Linked DNA regions of Callithrix jacchus. The protein of the gene in region 2 purifies or fractionates together with the protein of the main gene of each other region. This does not show direct contact. Links are inferred from orthologs where the notes say so. Each region holds a gene or a part of one and is shown on either strand. Other genes may lie near its edges.

Region 1 (6,678 bases), on a different chromosome or scaffold from region 2:
TCCCCAGAACCTCAACATTAAACAAATATAATCCCAAAAGCCATTACTACCTTAGAACCAGAAATCCTTAATTTAGTTATCATCTAGTGCCACATGGCCAAATTGATCAGCAACTTTAATTCAACCCCTCATTCCACATAAGACATTGCTAAGTTGTTTTTTTTTTTTTGTACATTAGGAAGTTAGCTAAAACCTGATATTCAAATAAACGTTGGTGTTATTTCTTCTGCAAAGTTATAAACTGCTGAACTAAAAAGGTCAATGATTATCTCATCTGTATGCAATACTGCAGAGATTCTCTAAAGTAGCACAAAAAGAAAACTGTAATATAAAAGACATCTTCAGAAGTAGATTGGCAAATGCAACCATTTAAAAGAAATGTCATTCAGCATACAGGGGTCTACAAATCTATGCTCCATAGAAATGTTACCTGTAAGTTCTACAATGGATTTCTATAAAGTGCAACATTTTCCATTAAATCATTAACTTCTAACAAGGGTTTTACAATAGAGGGATGAAGAAAATTATCAGGTCACAGTTGATTAGCACAAAATACAAATTCTGTAAACTCACCTGGATTATGCTATAATAAAAATATTGTTATCCACATCCAGATTTCAAGTTTGCACTAAATTATCAAACCAGATGAGAAAAAAACTTAAGAACAAACCACCATTACTGTGTTACCATACAGAATCTGCAAATCAAAAAAAGACTGGCAAAATCCAAGTTTAATTATCTTGTCTCCCCTAAAGAAAATTAAGAACTATAATGTTAACCCTATTCCGAATGTATTCCTAACTCAAGTCTCCCTACAGTAGGAAGTTCATTACGGTCTATGTTACTGAAACGTAACTGGGGGGTCATTATGGTTCTAGAGAAAAAGTATTTGTTTGGGAGTCAAATATGCTCCTTGCTACATGGAGGACTGGAAAGTCTGTCATTTCACTGCTCTCAGTTTGTTCCTCATCTATTATGCTAAGGATAACATTAACTAATCCACAGCACAAATGTGAAAATTAACTTTTCTAACCTAAAACTAAAGTGCAAATCAACTAACACTGTGGTAGTGACATACTCAACCAAAGTCAAATTATTATTTTTGGATTATCCATCTCACTGGTCCCTAGCAATATTTGACAAAATTAAGAACAGTGGAATATACAAAGTAAAGCCCAACCTCACCACTAAAACAAAAATATACTTTAAGGCCCAAGATCTCTCATTATAAATCAACAGGTCTTAAATCTAAGACTCACTGAACCAAACAAATTTTACCTAGCTAAAATACTCATGAAACCAGGTACAATGCTGTACACCTATAGTTCCAGCTATCTGGAAGGCAGGAGGGCTGATGAGGCCAGGAGCTTGAGACCGGCCTGACAAAATAGCAAGACCTTGCCTCTGTAAAAATAAAAATACTCATGGGTCAAGCGTTCTAAGCTCAGTAACTCTTAAGCTCAATGTATCTATACATTGGGCCATTCCTACAGATGAAAAATTTCATTTTAAAATCTGAAAATATTGAATGTGATGAGCTCCTACAGCTGCCACCTATAGGAAATGTTGCCCTAACTTATATTCACTTTCCAGCAGTGGAAACGTATACATCTCTAAGCTCTCATGTTTACTCTACATGCAATCATGTACTTAATTGTACAAGGATTCCCCATAGTGCTGACCATAATGCTAATCCTATTTCTTGGGTCCAATACTATCATTCAAAACCTCACAATCATCCCAACTCTGATGACTGAAATCACTGGGGAAGCCTTTTATTTTCTGAGACTGTGCAGTGATTCCCTGTCGCAAGTTACAAGCAGCATCAGCATGTATTGCTGCACCTCTCCACATTTATACACACACATACACAACACACATACACTTGGTACAAATAATGGAAAGTGAAATTACTAATTACTTAGAGTAGATGTTACTATAATTCTTGAAACAGATTTCTATTTCCTAATTAGTTTGTTATTTAACTGAGACTGAATTTCAAAAGGATGAGTCTTCATTTGTTTTCCTAATCCCACAGCTCCACCCACCCATAGGAAGAGCGACTATCCATGTTCTTAATGGGGTTGCTCCATTTTTACACAACATTCGGTATCCTTAGACCCTACCCCCAATAAATGCCAGATGCATGTCTCTCCAACAACCCTTCCAAATCTCACACATTTCCAAATGTTCTCTAGAATGTGCTAACACCAAGCTGAGGATCGCTGCATCTAGTTAATGCCCTGTTTTGAAATGTATAATGTAGTATTCACTTGTGAAGAATAATTTCTAGGTTATCCATAATTTATGACCTTAAAGCTACCATAACTAATTTTTTTTTCCACCCACCACATGCTTAATATAAGCTACAAAAGTACAAGTTGTATTTCTTCCTATTATCACTGATCTGGGTCAAAGTGGTTACCAAAGTTACTTAAACTAACCCTCCAGAAAAGCCATGTGATTCAGTTATGTTTATGTAAAGGAGATGCTGCCAATTTTCAAATATTTGAGGAAGTGGAACCAAACTAGTAACACCAACTTCACTGTAGTCTTAACTGACCCCTTCACAGCAAACCTAGAGTTTCTCAGTCTTAACTGACCCCTTCAGAGCAAACCTAGAGTTTCTCAATAATGCAAATATTCCTATACTATCCTCAAATGACAGTCCTCAAGATGAATACTGTTAAGAAAATAAATAAGTGACTTTGACAACCTGGTTGCCCTTCAATTAGTAATGACAAGTAATCACACAAAGGCTTGCTTCACACTTGTAAACAAAATCTTCACCCATCTCACACACAGCACTCAACAAACAACACATATGTGAAACGAGTATTAGTCTATATTGCCAGATTAAATTTTCTTCCAGAAATATTTTAATAAAAATTGGCCATTTCCAAGAAACACCCACTGCATGCCCATCAATAAGAGAACCATAACAAAATAGAAAATTTACACGAGCACATCAGCAAAGTCCAATATTAAAGTCACATTCCTTCTTATGGGCTATGATTAGGAATCTGATTAGATACCAAAATAAAACTTAATACAAATGCTGAACTACTTAGGCCAAAGAACCTCTATAGAAGCATCTGTCTTCAAAGGCATTCCAGTTTGAGACTCAATTTTAGAATAAGGCATAACAAATAGGTTAACAGAAGACATGTAAGTTGATGAAAGAGGGATTCTACAATTCCCCACATACTCTGAACCTAATAATAAACAAATCTAGATTTTTTTTTTAATTATTTTTCTTTAAACAACTGCCAAGACTGAAATCAAAGATAAATAGAAGGCACAACAGTTTTGCTCTGGTTGTTATCTGGATTTGGGGAATTTTTTTGTTTTTTGTTTTTTTTACAAATACAAATTAAACATGAAAAAAAACTCTATTTCAAAAAAACTAAGTTCATGAAAAGCCTATCAGCTGCATTCTAGACATTTAAAACCTATATATCACAATTTAAATTTCAGTGGTAAAAACAGTAGGTTTTAGAATTGTTTTGTGATCCTCTATCAAAAGAAAATTCTATTCCTTTTAAACATACCAGTGAGAATCAAAACTGTCAAATTTTCCAATGGCAATTTCTCCACACCAGAAAGAAGCCATGACTCTCAAAGAAGAAACAATTTGGGTTTTTCCTGCCTTCAAAATGTTATCAAATCCTGTTTGTCTCACAGGCTTTTGAAACTTGTAGAAAATAAGAAATATTCCAATGAATGAAACATACCAAATGTCAGTAATATGCAAGACACATTCCTTTGGGGAAATGGCTGTTAAAAAAAAAAAAAAAGTCCAGTCTGCATATGCAAAGTAAGCAAGGAAATTCAGTCCTTTTCTTTTTTTCTTCTTTAAAAATCTGTTACTCCTAAAATATCATTCCACAAAATTGGAAGTGAAAGACTAAAGGGCAGGAAAGGGAAGAGAAGGAGAGAGGGATCACACACCATTAACACACAAAAAAAGTAAAATTATACAAACTTATGCAGTTTATAACAGACTGGGGTCATACTCCAAGATACCAAAGGCTGGTCGAAGAAATTCACCATTCTGTAGGAACTAGGGTTCGTATGGCTCCGTGAAGATACATGAAGATTCACTGCCGTGGAGCAAGCCCCCTTCCCACTCCAAATCCTGGTTTCTGCACCATGCCTCCACGGGGAGGGCCTCTCATTCCACCACCCAGCCCACCTCGAGGGCCTCCAGGTCCCCGAAGGCGATTATCTCGTCGGTCCCCCTCCCTGGCAGCTCGAGTCTTCTTCTCTTCCACGTTCAGACGAACCTCACCTCTGAACATGATGGGCTGTAAGAATCAAGGTGACCAGACTTAGAGTACTGATAAGCTGGCTATGACAACAGAGGATTAAAAAAGCTATAAAAAAAACAAAACAAAACAGCAGCGGTCAGGGGCGGTGGCTCACGCCTGTAAATCTCAGCATTTGGGAAGGCCAAGGTGGGAGGATCACGAGGTCAGGAGTTTGAGACTAGCCTGACCAACATGATGAAACCCTGTCTCTACTAAAAAAATACAAAAATTAGCCAGGCATGGTGGCACATGTCTGTATTCCCAGCTACCCAGGAGGCTAAGGCAGGAGAATTGCTTGAACCCAGGAGGTGGAGGTTGCAGCGAGCTGAGATCGCACCACTGCACTCCAGCCTGGGCAACAGAGCGAGACTCCGTCTCCTTAAAAAAAAAAAAAAAGAACCAGCAGATTATACATCAACTGAGTTCTCACAGTTCCGCTTTGTTTGTTTTTTTTAATGAGATGAAGTTTTGCCTATCACCCAGGCTGAAGTGAGCAAGATCTCCGCTCACTACAACTTCCACCTCCCGGGTTCAAACACTTCTCCCTGCCCCAGCCTCCCAAGTACTTGTTTTCTCATAGAATTACGTAAATTGAATAAAGAATTGCCACCTTCTCCACAGATGGTGGAGGCCTAGAATAAAACTGCATCATCACCAATGTGAAAAGATGGCACTGCACATATTTATGCAAAGTACATATACATTTCAAATAAAACCTTCATTGATTTGACAAACTTTAACTTGCTGTTCACCTTCTAAGAATTTCGAATAGTCTTGGTCTTCTTTTCCTCCTAACAGAGCCAATGCAGTTAACAGGCTACCAAACATTTCAATAAATTCAATTCATGCTCTTTACCAGCAATATAATTTTCTACTTTCTTAAAATGAGTATCTAACAGTATTTACTATATGTCACTGAAGTGTTCTATTCAGATTAATTAGCTCGGTTAACCTTTACAACAACCCTCTGATGCTTGATACCTACTTTAAGAACTAGCAAACTAAGGGCTAGGGAGGTTAAAGAACTTTTCCCATGGGCCACAATAATAAGTGATGGAAGAAGAACGTAAACCAAGGCCTCCAGATTGGGAAAAATACGCTTTCAACTACAAAGCTACACTACAGCATGTCATATACCAGAGCAATCAGTTTGACATAAGCTATTTTTGCTCACACAAAAAATTACTGAAAAGAGCATAGTACACTTCTATAAATACCATGAAATGAAGGGTGGCTACAAGATCTAATACATGCTGAATGACGGATTTATCTACAAAGCCTACTAGACATTTCTGGGTTCTTCACTGGCTTTGGTGAGATAAACCACTGTTCTCTCATTTCTCAAACAGTATTTTGCAGGAGATGCTTCACAAAAATATGTGGTCAAATAATTCGAAAGATAACATACATTTGCATGTTAAGGTTGACATAATGTTATGAACCGAACATTAAACTTTGCAATATGGCCAGGCGTGGCTGCTCATCCCTGTAATACCAGCACTCTAGGAGGCCAAGGCAGGCAGATCACCTGAGGTCTGGAGTTCGAGACCAGCTTGACCAACATGGCAAAACTCCATCTCTACTAAAAACACAACAAATTAGCCAGGTGTGGTGGTGGACGCCCATAATCCCCTATTCAGGAGGCTGAGGCTGGAGAACTGCTCGAACCTGGAAGGTGGAGGTTGCAGTGTGCCGAGATCATGCCACTGCACTCTAGCATGGGAGACAAAGCGAGACTGTCTCAAAAAAAAAAAAAAAAAAAAATAGCAGTATGCCCATTAACATTCTGGAGAATATCACTGATCTGCAATGTTTCTATTATATGGCTTAAAGTACATAGTTTTAATCCACAGGGAAGAAAGCAGATTAGTGGCTGCCAGGGACTGGGGAGACATGTACAAGGAATGACTGCATAGCGAGTAGAGAGCTTATGGCTTTTAGTAAAAATCTTTTGGAATTAGAGGTAATGGTTGCAAAGCAATGTGTTCTAAATGCAATTAAGTTGTACATTTTCAAATGGTCAATTTTGTTATGTAAATTTCACCTCAATAAAAAAAGTACAGCTTAATGAATTAGTATTATTTATACCCTTGTTCTTTTCTACTACTACAAAAAGTTGTTCTTTGCAGGGGAAGGGAAGCTTTCTTTGGGGATCCCACCGTAAGATTCCCATTCCACAAATTCCTCTATTATTAGGATGTACGCAGTAAGAGTACTGTTAATAAGGGTGGTTCCAAGTAGGGTGACTACATAATTTATCTTCCAAACCCAATTTATTGACTTAAAGGATAAGCTCTTAATAGTTATTCTCTAAAAACAGCAGTATACCAAAACTGCCTTGGGCAAACTGGCTCTTATCTTGGTTAAA
Region 2 (7,411 bases):
TAAAGGGCTTGCGGGGTAGGCTGCTCCGCAGAAGGGTACTGAGGGGTGGAGGATGACACGATGGCCTGGGGATGGCTGCCCGACGTCAGCATGCGTGGGTTGCTTTGAAGCATGGGGGCAAACACCGGCTGGCAGGACAGAGAAAGAAGTGGTTGGCAAAGTCAGCCAGGAAGGTGTCTTCTTGCCAGTCACTGCTTGCATAGCACGGCTCGGGCCTCCTCACAATCACCCTATTGATTCAACATTCTCAGCAATCCCACCCAGCACACACTACTTCCGCTACACTTCAGAGATACAGATATCCAATGCCTTGTTACAGGTGCCACACTAAAGCCGGAGTTCAAGCCCAAGTGAGACACCGCCAATCCCACAGCTGGCCAATCCCATCCACAATGCTGCCTGCCGCCCCCAGCCAGCTCCCGAGTCTCTAGAGAAGACGCGATCCCTATTAGGGGCCCTGGATCCTCACTGCCCTCCTGGGCCATAGTCACCTGTGAGGGGTAGTGGGCCATGGGCTGCATCATGGCAGGCTGGCCTGGGAACTGCTGAGGGTTGTAGGGAATATAGGAAGAATAGGGTGTGGCAGCCACCAGAGGTGGGCCAGCAGCCGCAGCAGCCTGCATCATTGGCGGGGCTGAGGCTGGCTGGTGTTGGTCCGAGCGCTGCGGGGGCAGGGAGCCTGGAGGAGGGGAAAGAGAGCAGAGTTGGTCAAGCTCCACCTGCCAGTAGGCCCTTGGCAGCCTCGAAGCCTGCCCCTCCCAGCCCTGCTCACCTTTTGCTCCCCGGTACTTGCCCTGCTGCCCAGGCACTGAATTAGATACAGGATATGGATACATCTGAGGTGCCTAGGGATGAGGACACAGAGGAGGCTGAATGACTTGCTCACAAATGCCCAGAACAGGCCTGACATGGTCCCTCAGGCAGCCCCACCAAATCCCACCCCCCTAACCCTGGGCCCAGTCAATCTTTCCGCATACCTGCACAGCTGGTCCCATGTGGATCTGAGGTATGTAGGAGATGTACTGGGGGCTGTATAGCCCACTCTGGCCTGCTGTCAGCACCGGGATGGAGGGAGTTGAATGAGTCCGGGGCCCCGGAGAAGTTGGAGTACTAGTGGATTTATTCTGCAAAAAACAAGGGAAGACAATTTTATTTCGTATCTTCCTTTCTACTCCTGGCCATGCCTTCAGTAGTAACAGCCAGCATCCATGAAATGCTGGGTACCAAACACATTCTGCACTGATCTTGGTTAAGCCTCGCACTAAACCCTGAGAGATGAGCATTCTCAAATTACAGGTGAGGCGGAGAATTTAAGTGAAATTTAAGAATTTAAGTCCAAGATCACAAACCTTCCAAATACAAGCGCTTAAGCCAAGTTAGCTGGCCCAAATAGAGCTTCTGTTCATGACTACCCCACTCTTACCCCACTCTTAATACTCCCTCAGCCAAATGCCAAGAACCAAAGAAAAACCTGTTAACTCCTCGTCAGACTCACTGGGATCTCTGGTCACCCAACCCTGGAGAACTGAGTCCACTTTCCCCAAGCCAGCCCCAAAGTTGCCATCCTTACATTTTTATGACATCTCCTCACACTGCCTGCTAGTCAAGTGGTCCTGGAAGTGAAGCACTCCCCCTATTCATCTATAAGCACTGCCCAAGTCTCCTCACAGAAACCAAAGTCCACATTTTCCCATCCCAGCTCACCACAGACAGCAGAGGCTTTGTGGGATTGAACTCCTTGGCATTGGGGTTCAACGTTGATTTCTTCACTTGTCTGTGAAATAAAGTACAGTAAATCTTCACGGCTTGCTCCCGTCCCTCCTGCCATCCTTCCAGGGCACCAGCATGCTCCACTCACTCAGCAACAGGGCCTTCATCCTTGTCCTCCCCCTTAATAAGGCCCACCGGGGGGCTGCCGGTTTGGCTTGGGCAAGGTGGTGGGGGCTGTTCTGGCCCCTCAGTGCCTCCTGCTGGTGCCAGGGGTGGTTTGTCCTCCTTATCCGATAAAGACTCTGTCTTGGAGGAGACAGGAGACCCCATGGGCTCTGAAGCCAAGAGACCATCAACCTCCTTCTCTTTTCCTTTGGCCTCCTCCTTTAAGATCCGGGGAGGAAAAGGATCCAGGCTGTTCTCCGGTGAGCTACTGGGCTGAAGCTGGAAGGGAGAAATACATACATGGTCCAGTCTGACCTAGACCCTAGGCACTGCTTTCTTCTTTCATCCTTGATTTCATCTTTTTGACCCCTACCTAGTCCTTTGCCTCATCTATGAAGCACCCCTAACCCCTTTAACCTGCCAACATCCAGCTCACTTCCACAGTTCTCTCACCTTAAACTGGGCCCCAAACTTTCTTAGTTCTTCCAGTTGGAATCGTTTCTGTTCATTCTGAAGACCAGGGACTACGAGAAAACAGTGAAATAGAAGAAAATACAACACATTCTTTCTCTAAGGTGACTACGCAGTGCCAAGAGAATAGAGGACAAGTTAGCAAAGAAAAAAGGAGAAACTCCTGAGAATCACAGAAGTGAAATTGCGATCTATGGGCTGATAAACATTGTTTGCCTCTGAATTCCAACAAACTTAACTAAAATACTCTCCCCCAGACAAAGGAGCATTAGTCCTCAGCAGAAAAAAAAAAACCACCCTCACCTTTCCCAGCTATCCGAGCCAGCTCCTGGGGCTCCAGAGTTCTCCCAGGTTCCTTGGTAGAGAGTTCTTTTACTATGCAAGGAGAGAGAAATGCCCAAAAGTCCTTCTGTCCAGAACCACACATCATACTCAACATGCATCCACAGCACTCAAACACCTAGCTCTTACCATCTGTGGGGGCCAGGGAGATCTTTGGAGAAGCTGGGGAAATGGAGCCCACTCCAGGATCTGAGACTGATGAGGTCACAGGGATGGAGGCTGAAGAGGTTGGCACTGCCGAGCCGATGGGAGGCTCAGGACAGGAAGCTGAGATTGGGGCAGGTGCAGCAGACTTGGGAGAACGTGGGGGATACATCCGGCCCACTGGAAGAAAAGGAGGAGCTGTGGGATGGTTACTACTGGTCTACAGTAGTAAGTACAAGGGCCGTACTCAAATCAGCAAGAAAGTTTACACACTATACACCTAGGGTCACCAACTTAAATGTCTAGAAGGCCAAAGCAGGTAACATAAGCAGGTAAATGGCCTGGTAGGCATCATCAGTGACTGGAATGGTTTTTGTTTTTTTAGACAGAGTTTCACTCTTGTTGCAAAGGCTGGAGCGTAACGGCAAGATCTTGGCTCACTGCAACCTCTACCTCCCAGGTTCAAGTGATTCTCCTGCCTCAGCTTTCCTAGTAGCTGGGATTATAGGTGGCTACCACCAAACCCAGCTAATTCTGTATATTTTTTTTAGTAGACATGGAGTTTGCCACGTTGGTCAGGCTGGTCTCCTGAACTCAGGTGATCCACCCCGCCCCACTGACTGGGATGCTTAAGGGGGTTAACTGGGATTCTGTCCCAGTCAACTCAAGCTATGCAGCAAGGCAAGCTCAGTTGACAGAACTTCCTGTAATTCAAAAGAAACTAAAAATTTTCTGTGGTTTCTATTATTTCGTTTATTTATTTAGATAAGGGTCTTGCTCTGTTCCTCAGACTGGAATGCAACCTCCTAGGCTCAGCAATCCTCCCACCTCAGCCGCTCAAGTAGCTGAAAGTACAGGTGCACACCATCATGCCCAGCTAATTTTTAAATTTTTTGTAGAGATGGGGTTTTGCCATGTTGCCCAAGTTGGTCTTGAACTCCTAGGCTCAAGCAATTTGCCCATGTTGGCCCGTTTTAAAAACTTAGCAAATGGCCAGGTGGATCACGAGGTCAGGAGTTTGAGACCAGTCTGGCCAACATAGTAAAATCCTGTCTCTACTAAATAACAACAAAAAAAAATGAGCCAGGTGTCGTGGTAGGCACCTGTAATTCCAGCTACTGGGGATGCTCAGGCAAGAGAATCGCTTAAAGAGGTGGAGGTTGCAGTGAGCTGGCGCCACTGCACTTCATCCTGGGCAACAATGTGAGATTCCATCGCACACACACACAAAAGTCAGCAACTGATTCAAATCTCAAAAGATGTCTGCCAAGCAGACATAACCCATGGATTGCTAGGTTGAGATTTCTGCACCAGAGAAACTGAAGATTTCTTTCCCAATATGACTAAATCCCAAACTCCCAAAACATCTATCTTAAAATTATCTCCCATTCCACCATTGTAACAACTGACATATTTATCAATTTATAAAACTGATGAAATTTATCAGTTTCTTTCTATTCATTTCTTCATCCGACACTACTGAGGCTTTACCTGCAGGAGGTGGTGGAACAGAAGTTTCTCCAGAAGGCCTATTACTGGGCGAAGACAGAGTCTTGGCACCTCTCAGAGGCCGCTGTGCCTTTGGGGACATGCGGGAAGGGCCTGTTTTTTTTTTTAAGATGAAGAAAATGTCAGAAGCAGCAGACAACCTGCTACATTACATTCCTACCAATGCAGCATCATTGCAACCCACCCAAACCCCTGCAATTACCCTCCCAACCTCCTCGGCATCCTCTTCCCTGCCCCACCAAGTTTACCTCATAACTCACCTCCATTGATACCACGGGCCTCAGAACCTGGGCCAGGGCTACTGTTGTCCAGATGGTGAGGGCCACGAGGTGGCAAAGAGCTAAGGCCAGGCCGCCCGCCCCGAGAGCTGCTGCATCGAACTCCTCCCCGGGGGCCTTCCCGGACTCGTTGAGGCAGAGGGATATACTTCCCCTCCCTGAGGAAAGAGTTCAAATAAGGCCAGGTAGCCACAAAACCCATGTTTTGGAAAGACGAAGCCATTTCTTCCTCTAAAGTCTCCCACCTCTGACCCAAACATACACACTGCCTGGCTCTAGCACTATCCCACTTGAAGATCTGCCCTAGTTAAATGTTCTGTGGCTTATGATCTTATGTGACATCAACTCTTGAGCCAACCAACCTGGCCGGTGCTCCACAATTCTACAACTCCTAACCTATAACAAAGGTAAGATCACACTGTAGTTCCAGGGGGAGCTTCTATAAGACACACATAATGTAGTTATATTTCACTTTTATAAAAAGAAATAGCACATATATATAAATGGATACCAAAAAAAAAAAAGGGAAAGTAAACCAAAGTTCTGAAATGTTTCTTTTCCTAGATCTACAAGCTTCATTCAGCCTTGTTACTTTGGACCAATTATATCACCCTGCTGGACCTTCAACCCTAAACCTATGTGTGACATTTCACATGCTCTCAAAGCTTAAACTACAGCACACATCCATCAACTCTAGGCCCAGGCCCCAGGACAGTCCCGGCTATTTGTGACAGTCACCTGGATGCCAAGCTGGGGCTCTCCCGCCCTGAACCCTGCCGCTGCACTGCACTGTGCTTCTCCTCTTCAGTGCGCCCATCATCATTCTCCATGGCGATCCGTAGGCGGTACTGGGGGCTTGATTCAATCTCTCGAGCTAACTGGGCCGCACGTAGCTCTCGCTGACGAAACTCTTCTGAGTTGTCCTTTTCTAAGGGCACCCTGAAACAGCACCCACAGACCACCACCATCCCAGTGCCAGGGGACAAAGAGGAAAAAAGGAAAAACATTTCAACCAGTTTGATCACCAGTTCAGGTACCTAAGTACTTAATCCTCTCAACTCAATATCTGGGTTTAACAGGCACCTACTGCGTCTCAGGTAGCCTTATCTGTAAATGTGAGGAACACGTAGATGCTTAAAACCTTTGGCCAGGCGCAGTGGCTCATGCCTGTAATCCCACTTTGGGAGGCCAAGGAGGGTGGATGAGGCCAGGAGTTCGAGATCAGCTTGGCCAATGTGGTAAAACCCCGTCTCTACTAAAAATACAAAACAATTAGCTAGGCATGGTGGCAGGAATTTGTAATCCCAGCTACTCAGGAGCCTGAGGCAGGAAAACCACTTGAACCCGGGAGACGGAGGTTGCAGTGAGCCGAGACCATGCCACTGCACTCCAGGCCTGGGTGACAAAGAGCGAGACTCCATCTCAAACAAACAAACAAAAAAACCTCTGCGGGAACAGTTCCACAAGGCAGAGCAGGAGCCGAAACAGCAACCCTGGACACCCAGGGAAGAATGAGCACAGTTCTACCTGGAAACTTGTCTTCTCTTAGTAACCCCACATCCCCAACACATCACCTGGAAAGCACCAAGACACTCACGTATAAGAAGAAAGACTGCTATCATAGGTGGTCTTCACACCGTAGTTCTCCTCATTGAACTTGAACATTTCATTGGGGTCCCATCCATTGGACTGGGGAGGAAGAAAGGCGGCTTTAAAATCCAGCAAGTAAAGCAACAACGACAAGTCACTTCCCTTCCATCAGGTTAAAAACTCCAAAATGTGACCAAATTGGCTGGGCACAGTGGCTGAAACCTATAAAAGCTGAGGCAGGAGGATCCCCTGAGGCCAGGAGTTCAAGGCCAGCCTGGGCAACATAGCAAGAGCCCATCTCTACAAAAAAATAACATTTAACAGCCAGGAGGGGTGGTACCTGCCTGGAGTCCTAGCTACTTGCTACTGAGGAGAGAGGACCACTTAAGCCCAGGAGTTTGAGGCTGCAGTGAACTCTCACGGCACCACTGCACTTAGGCCTGGGCAACTGGCTGGACCTGTAATCCCAGTACTTTGGGAGGTGGGCGGATCACCTGAGGTCAGGAGTTTGAGACCACCCTGGCCAATATGGTAAAACCCCATCTCTACTAAAAATAGAAAAATTAGCCATCCATGGTGGCATGTGCTTGCAGTACTGTCTGAGGCAGGAAAATCACTTGAACCTGGAAGGCAGAGGTTGCAGCAAGCTGAGATCAAGCCACTGCACTCCAGCCTCCAGCCTGAGCAAGAGTGAGACCCTGTCTCAAAAAAAAGGAAAAAAAAAAAAGCACCCGTCTCAAAAATAAAGTGACCAAACCAAGAATGAAAAAAATAGGAATGTGGCTGGCAAAAGTAATCAACTATTAATTGTAATTACTAACTGCAATTGTTAATAACTACTAACAACTACAGCATAAATTAGCAATAACCAATAAAACTGAGAAGTCTTAAGACCTAAAAATTCTATTTCCAAGATATCCCAGAGAAATTCTGGCACGTGTGCGTGGGAAATACCTGTTCTAAAAGTCCAGTAAGATACTATAGTTAGTAGCAAAATAATGGCAGCAAAATGCAGATAAGAATACAATTTGCTGTGCGTACATACGTATGTAAATATAGACAATACACAACAATAGAAGCAAAGAACTAGATCCACGTAGCACCACAAGAAATTAAAAAAGGTGAAAAAAAAGCCAATTCTTGTACAAACTAAACATAACAAAACAATAATGTATTTATTCACAAGACATTTGTTTCTCAAC
Region 3 (7,411 bases), on a different chromosome or scaffold from region 2:
GTTATTCTGGTTTCTCCCCAGTACAAATTTGTGAAGACTGATTTAGGAATCTTAAAGTGTTATTAATGTCAGGTAAAATTCAAATGTATCATCCCGTTTAGGTTCTAAAATTACACGCTTTAGGACCTCATTTTTCATTGAAAGCATGACTAAGTATGGCTGATTACATCAATATTCTTGCAGAGCTTAATAAATTAGTTTCAGTTTCTGAACTTGAGTCATGTCCATAACTTCAGGTAACCTCAATCTTCTCATCCCTTCCTTTCTCCTTTCCTTGTGAGATACAAGGCAGAAATACTTTAGAAAATCCAAAATTGTAGTCTACTTTAAATCATTCTCACTGTTCTTACTACTTATTATTCTCTTCTAACATTCAACCTGTATACCAGCTGTCTAACTGGACTGGGGTAGATCTCTTACAATGATCAAGTGTTACTTAAATGTTTTACTTTTTTCATATATCAAATTTCACAAATAAATTGTTCTAAAACCCAACTTCTTATTATTCCCACTTAGTCTGTATGAAATGCAACTGGGAGAAAACATCTGGGGACATAAGAACTATAGATTAAATTAGGGACATAGATAAATGCTGCAGACATCAGTAGTTTATTGTTTAGTCCAAACACATTCAAAATGGAAACTCAAAATACTTTCCACCTGAAACAATTAAACTAGATTCTACTAGCATATAATGCTTAACACATTACAGCAATAAAGATGGTAATCCATTGTCTTCTATACCTACTAAAGCCAAGATGGTAAAGCCAATTTGGTTGCAATAGTGTCATAAGGATAGAATATTACCATCAAAAAATAAAACAAAAATCAGCAAATAACAGTAATGGTAGATGAATATTTTTACTCTGGTTCACTGAAAAGAGGACAAAATGTTAAAAGTCCACAGTACTGCAGGTGAACAATCACCATGTAAACTTCTCCATATGATGTTTTAATGTTTTATTCATGGTATGTAAAGACTGAAGCTGAATGGCTCTTTGCTCTACTTTTCTATTACACTTAACATTTGTCATTACTTTTGGTGCCAGAACAGTTTTCATGGATGGCAGGGCAATATCCTGAATTGGAAATTTTATATATGTGTATATATAAAAAATGGGAAATAGAAATAGAAGAATAGAGGAAAATATGCTTGGGGCGAAAAAAACATTGACAATAAAACAGCTGCTTCTTTGAAAGTAGTATTAATAAAGGCTTCAAAACTCCAAAGTAATTTTCTGGTAAGAACTTCAAGTACTATACATCAGAAAGTATAAAACTGTTTCAAACAAACAAACAAAAAAAGAATCCTTAAGCCCCCCAAAATGGAAACGATGAAAATCTGCGTCCCCAAAATATATCCAATAGTGCAAGACTTTTCCTCAAACATGGAAGACCTCATTCAAAGGGGAAAAAAGAGACAGATTTTACTCATATTGCCCAGTACATAAAAAACAAAATACATCCATCATTTGCTAGTTTACTAAATAGCAAACAGTTGCATAATTCAGAACCAATTTGCTATGTCAAGTGCATATCTTGTTTGTTTTACAAAGATAGAACGGAGAAGTCTTCCATGCTAATGAGCAGCTTTAAGTGGTCACACTTATTTACCTCACTTCCTGCCTGAAACATCAGAAACTGGTATTTACTGATTGCTCCAAGTATAAAATTGGATAAGCTTTGCCATACTTGTGGTTTACTGGAACTTGCTATAAAGACAGACAATAATCCAGCAGCTACAAACTTTGCTCACAGAATTGTTTAAAGATTCATGTAAAAATAAAAGATGTCGTCCCAGACTTAAATTCAGGAGCCACTCGGGTGCTGACATCAGTTCAAGAATTGTGCAAAATGAATGACAGTTCCCTGCCCCCCAAATAGAAAATGCAAACACTTAAGAGCTGCTGTTCTTTTCTCTGAAAATTGCAGTATCCTCACTTCAGGCTTACTTGCCATTTATGGAATCTGACTGCTTTTAAAATGTCACTAAAAATGTACATCAAGCTGACTGACATTTCCAAGCGCTGAAGTGATACGTTTCAACGTCCACATTCTAGCCAAGAGAAAAGTCAACTAGACACTTACTCAAATAACTGACTTCCTCCTTCCCTCTCCCCACAAACACACAGGACTCCCTCCCTCCCACAGAGAACACAAAGTTGTTAACTAAAGAACAAGATAAATAATATGCTAGTCCATTTTACTGATTTTAAAGATACTGCAATTTTTATACATTTCGATGATTTTTCAACATTTTGCAGCTGTTTGGCTTTGCAGCACAGCAATTCATACACTATACTGTACAAAATTACCAGCAAGACTGGAATGATGTATTAATAGAAGGCACCATCATGCTTATTACATTACCAGAGAACAAAAATACAGTAAGACAATTATCACTGTACACAGCTTAAAGAAAGGAAAAAGGGGAGGAGGAGTGTGTTGAGCAGCCAGCCATCCCTGTACTGAAGAGGGGCAGGTAGAAAAATCTTAGATATGGAGCTACTAAATCTGGTCTAATAGTCAAGACCATAGCATTTGAAGTTCTATTTTTTGTTATTTAGTTCATAACTAAAATGATTTCCTTCTGGAATATACTTGTAGTCTTGTTAAGGTTTATGTGTACACACGCTGGTCACAGCAAGCAGATAAAATGCCCTCATCATTTCACAAACTATTCTCTACTGGAAAAGAAGATGAAAGATTTTTTTCCCTGTTGCCACCTGTTGCAGATGTCAATGTTAATGAGTTCAGAGTACCCATTAGTGCATTTTGATGAGTGCATAATAAGTTTCTGTTGGTTTGTATTTTTGAGGGGAGCCAAGAAAAAAGGCAAGATTCTCCAATTGCACAAATTGCACTATTTGTATTCCCAAAATTAACAGGCAGAAACAGTAACACTTAAACAAAATGTGCAGCAGAAGATTTTTTTTGACTCAAAGGACCTGAATTCAGTGGGCATGTCCTTTTAAGTTCACTTTGTCGTAGATAGTTTAAAATATGGTCAGTTCTCAGTCCTTAATTCTCCAAGTCTAGATTTATAAATTAACAATGTGAATCCTGTTGTGAAACTGGGGTAATAATGTCCACCTCAATTTAACTGATAACCAAAAGATGCTTTTCACATCAAAGAAATGATCAAAAAGGCTGTGTCACATTCCAAAGCCAAAAAAAAAATTAACAAGAATGCAAACACGATGAATATTGTACCACTGCCAAGACTATGCCAACAGTGGAGCTTCAGCGACGCTGTCCTGTGAAGCGGCCTTCCATTTGCCCGGTTCCTCTTCCAGAGCCAAGTTTCTGTGCCATGCCACCTCTTGGAGGAGGTCCTCTTCCATCACGATCACGCATCATTCCGCCACCCACAATTCCACGGGGACCACCAGGACCTCGATCATTGCGCCTAATATCCCTGCGATCATCACCACCACCTCTGGTTTCTCGCTCTCTTGCAGCTCTTGTTTTTTTCTCTTCCACATTTAAACGTACTTCTCCTCGAAACATAATCGGCTTTATAAAAGAGGAGAAAAATATTTACATGGGCAAGTTAGACAGCAATAGAAATGTATTACTCTGAACAGATAAGTTAGATAAGCGTAACCCCCCATCCCACCCCACTCCACTAGAGACAAGGTCTCAGCTATAACCTAGGCTGGTGAACAGCCAGTGGCACAATCATGGCTCACTGCAGACATGACATCCCGGGCACAAGTGATCCTCCCACCTTAGCCTCCTGAGTAGCTGGGATAATAATAGGTGTCCACCACCACAGCCAGCTACTTTTTCTTTTTGGTAGATATGATGTCTCATTGTTGCCCAGGCTGGTCTTGAACTCTGCTAGGGTCAAGCAATCCTTCTGCCATAACTTCCCAAAGTGCTGAGATTACAAGTGTGAGCCACTATAACCTACGAAAATTCTTAACATGCAATCTCTCCCACCTTTTTCAGCAAAGCAAGTAACAAAATTTAAATAATCCACATCTTAAAGACTTTAAAACTGCTAACAAATCTTTATTCACTGCATAAATACTCTTTAATAATTAACTATTTTTAGCTTTACTATTAAAAGATTCTCTATGGTTTTTAAATACCCCAAATTAATATATACAACAGAAATAATAGTCTTGAAATATGCCCTTTAAATCACTTACTTTCGCGATTAAGATTCTCTGAACTGGTTCAGAGTCATCAAAAACCACAAAACCAAAATTTGGAAGCTTTCCCCCAACACCCTTGGTATTGATGCGAAGTTCCACAACGTTTCCAAAACCTGTGAAAATATATATTACATCAAGAGTTAAATATTTTTAACAGAATACTTTGATGGCTGTAATTGTTCAGGATGAATAATCTTATCTCCTTGATCCATTTTAAAAGAAAACTCGCAAGCTTCCACACACAGTGATAGCTAAGGTACATTTATTCAAGCAGGCAGTCACCTAAGATACCAAGTAGCCTGCCTGCCTTTCTGCATCTTTGTTACTCCTTTCAAAAGTAAAGTTAACTGCATAATTTGGAAAGACAATGTAGTTTCTCCTAATATATTGACCCATTTGCCAAATGAATCCTTTATCTCTGAATTTATGACTGATTTATCCAGTCTGATTTATCTTCTAAACTCTGTTGAGCCAGACCAAGTCAACACTAAGCAGTCACGGAGAAACATCTGATATAGTCATCTACTCCCTTCCTCTCAATTGAGGTGAGACTGGTAGCTGGACACAGTATAGAGAGAAACATTTTTTAAAAAGTAGTTATTGAAAAAGCTCTATATGCTTCTTGCTTAATTTAAAATGATTTAAAAACTTACAGCAAAATAAATCACTTACTCATGAAGAATTCTTTCAGTTCATTTTCATCAATATCATGTGGCAAGTTACCAACAAAAAGTTGATGACTATCTGGATAGCGAATTATTCTACGGTTGTCAGAGTCATTCTGTTCCATATCTCCTCTGCCTGAAAAGAGAAATAGAACAGATATTAAAGTTTACAATATCATAAAAACTACTTCAAAGGAATGAATGTAAAAATCACTTACTATTGATATTCCTGTTTTAGCTTAATAAGACTAGGTGAGCTTCTTGAAAAAGAGGCAAAAGTACCTATTATTAGTAGGTTAGAAAACAGCATGACACTAAAATGTAAAGTGAGGACAATGACTAGGTTGCTAAAATAGCTTCTTCTAGATCTACTAGACTGATTATACAAAAATCAAGTATTAGTATTACAGGTATTCCTCCTTAACCAAACTGCTGCCATCACCCAGGAGCCAAGCAGACTTCAGATAGTGAGGTACAGACTACTAAATATTTGCTTAGTCTTTTGAAATTCAAAATTATTTGGCTATATGACATTACAGCAAAATCAATAAATTTTAACAGCAATTATCACATTTATGTAGTCTATACATTTTAAGTGTATATGTATATAGATATAAATAAAATCTTATTTGACTCTCTCAATAACACAGAACACAGTGAGGCATACACAAGAATAATTTGTGTAATGTTTGACACAAAAGCTCAGAATTTAAGGTCTCACTCAAGATCCTAAGTTTAATCAGTGACAAATTTACAACTTCTAGTTTACTTTAAAAAACAAAAAACATTGTAAATGTGATAGTCACTATCTCCATCTCTCCCATCTCCTTTCAAAAGCAATCTAAAAATTCTTATACAGTTCAAATAAAGGTATTACATGTATAGCTAACTATGTAAACAAGTCAAAAATCATGGCAACTTACTTAAAAATCAAAATAAGAATCTAGGTGTGCTTACTGTTTATCTGTGAAGAGACAGTGCTAAGAGAGTAGGTTACTGGCAGCTTGGTTTTGAATTCTTAAAACCAGTGACAATAACCAAATAAATTTTAAGTCTTTTACTCCTTCAAAACATGTCTCCATTGCATGTCAACCAATCCTCCCTAAAAACTGGTTATTCACCACAGATACTATTTTAGCAGGTTGCTCACATCACATCTTTAAGCAATTTGATACTATACAGGTCTGTGTACAGAACACATCATAGTTTTTGGGTTTTTTTAAAGTTCAGTCTTTTCCAACCCTACAAATGTTAAATGCTAAAGGCAGAGCTGACTCACCTGGTCTTGGTCCTCTAGGAGGGAAACCAGGTCGTTCTCTAGGTCGCTGTTCACGCACACGAGGTGGCTGAGATTGAACTTCTGGTTTAGCTTCAACTCTTGGCTAAAATATAAAGGAAAAAACACATTGTAAAAAACACTCCACAGGAGAAAAATCAACTAAAGCAACTAACAAGTCTCTAGTAGACATAATGATAGCTTTAAGTTTAGAATGTTTTTAACATAGTGTCCTATGTATATGAAAAATAAATTTTTATCAAGATATTCTGTACCAATCTAGGACTGTAGGTAGCTTTTGTTTTCCCACTCAAGGCTGTATAACTCACAATAAGATGCTTTTTACAGTTATATTTTTTCATTAAAGTTGTATCAATACTGAAATAGCATAAAAAGTATTGCTACCAAAAAAAAAAAAAAATCACAAAAATGCAAGATGAACCACTCCATGTAAATAAACAAAATTAAAAGCCATCTTTATCTTAAGACAAAAATCCATAACACATAATTTCTGAAAATCTAGTTTGCTGTCCTTCAAATGTAATAGTGCTCATTAGTATTGCCTAAATCTCTGCCCATAATCTTAAAATCAGTATTTTTGTAGTTCAAAGTATAAAAATTAGCTTGCTCTAACACCTAAAATTGCTACCTTAAGTTAAAATGCATGCTAAAAAGATAACAGAAACTTATAGAAACCTGTATGTAGCAACTCAGATAGTCAAACTCCTTTAACTCCCTACTGTTCTTTCTTAAGAGAAAAATACACATTTGAAGTATTGGCCCCAGTGATTTTCCCTAACTAGGAGGCTGGGAGTAATAGAACAGCTTAAGATGCCTACCAAAAGTTTCTGCCAACTGCTGAATTAAACATATAATTATTTTTAAAACAAAATTACATTGGCATCTGCTATTACCTTTCCCTCAAGACAACAGCTTTTTCAGTATTCCCAACTTCCTCGGACCTTCTACTACCCAAATATTTATGGTCCAAGGAGACACAAAATAAGATGAACCTACAAAGGATGCTGAAAATACCCAACAGGATATGGAAAACATGTCCTCAAATCAGAAAGCTAGTAATTTCAGTTCCATATTTAAAGATGGTCATCTCTGAGGACCTCAGTCCATGCAGTGGCTCAAATTCTTTAATTATACAACAGATAGTGTAATTTACAAGGACAAATTTTGATACAAAAATGCTTCTTTCAAAAATGAGAATTTAATGTAAATGATTTCAGCCACTGTTACCAAAAAAGAGATATTAACTCCTTTGCTAACAGTTTAACAGAGCTTGCCTGCCTCTTCCC

What was found.
Region 1: the proteins of ATXN2L (region 2) and G3BP1 purify together in Homo sapiens (affinity purification with mass spectrometry; 4 studies listed by BioGRID and IntAct, with this or other methods). This does not show direct contact. The link is inferred for Callithrix jacchus from reciprocal best matches to the Homo sapiens genes ATXN2L and G3BP1.
Region 3: the proteins of ATXN2L (region 2) and G3BP2 purify together in Homo sapiens (affinity purification with mass spectrometry; 4 studies listed by BioGRID and IntAct, counting the BioPlex papers as one, with this or other methods). This does not show direct contact. The link is inferred for Callithrix jacchus from reciprocal best matches to the Homo sapiens genes ATXN2L and G3BP2.

What each region holds. Positions count from the first base shown.
Region 1 is NC_133503.1:50,739,311-50,745,988, reverse strand, and holds the end of G3BP1 (ras GTPase-activating protein-binding protein 1), read right to left. Parts: intron 4,308-6,678; coding exon 4,101-4,307; 3' UTR 2,862-4,100; downstream 1-2,861. UniProt on the Homo sapiens protein: Protein involved in various processes, such as stress granule formation and innate immunity. Plays an essential role in stress granule formation.
Region 2 is NC_133513.1:29,118,878-29,126,288, forward strand, and holds part of ATXN2L (ataxin-2-like protein), read right to left. Parts: intron 6,309-7,411; coding exon 6,217-6,308; intron 5,559-6,216; coding exon 5,358-5,558; intron 4,778-5,357; coding exon 4,602-4,777; intron 4,435-4,601; coding exon 4,324-4,434; intron 3,031-4,323; coding exon 2,818-3,030; intron 2,722-2,817; coding exon 2,650-2,721; intron 2,400-2,649; coding exon 2,329-2,399; intron 2,155-2,328; coding exon 1,859-2,154; intron 1,775-1,858; coding exon 1,705-1,774; intron 1,125-1,704; coding exon 978-1,124; intron 846-977; coding exon 773-845; intron 680-772; coding exon 492-679; intron 129-491; coding exon 1-128. UniProt on the Homo sapiens protein: Involved in the regulation of stress granule and P-body formation.
Region 3 is NC_133504.1:122,501,025-122,508,435, reverse strand, and holds the end of G3BP2 (ras GTPase-activating protein-binding protein 2), read right to left. Parts: intron 6,211-7,411; coding exon 6,108-6,210; intron 4,965-6,107; coding exon 4,836-4,964; intron 4,277-4,835; coding exon 4,158-4,276; intron 3,517-4,157; coding exon 3,244-3,516; 3' UTR 591-3,243; downstream 1-590.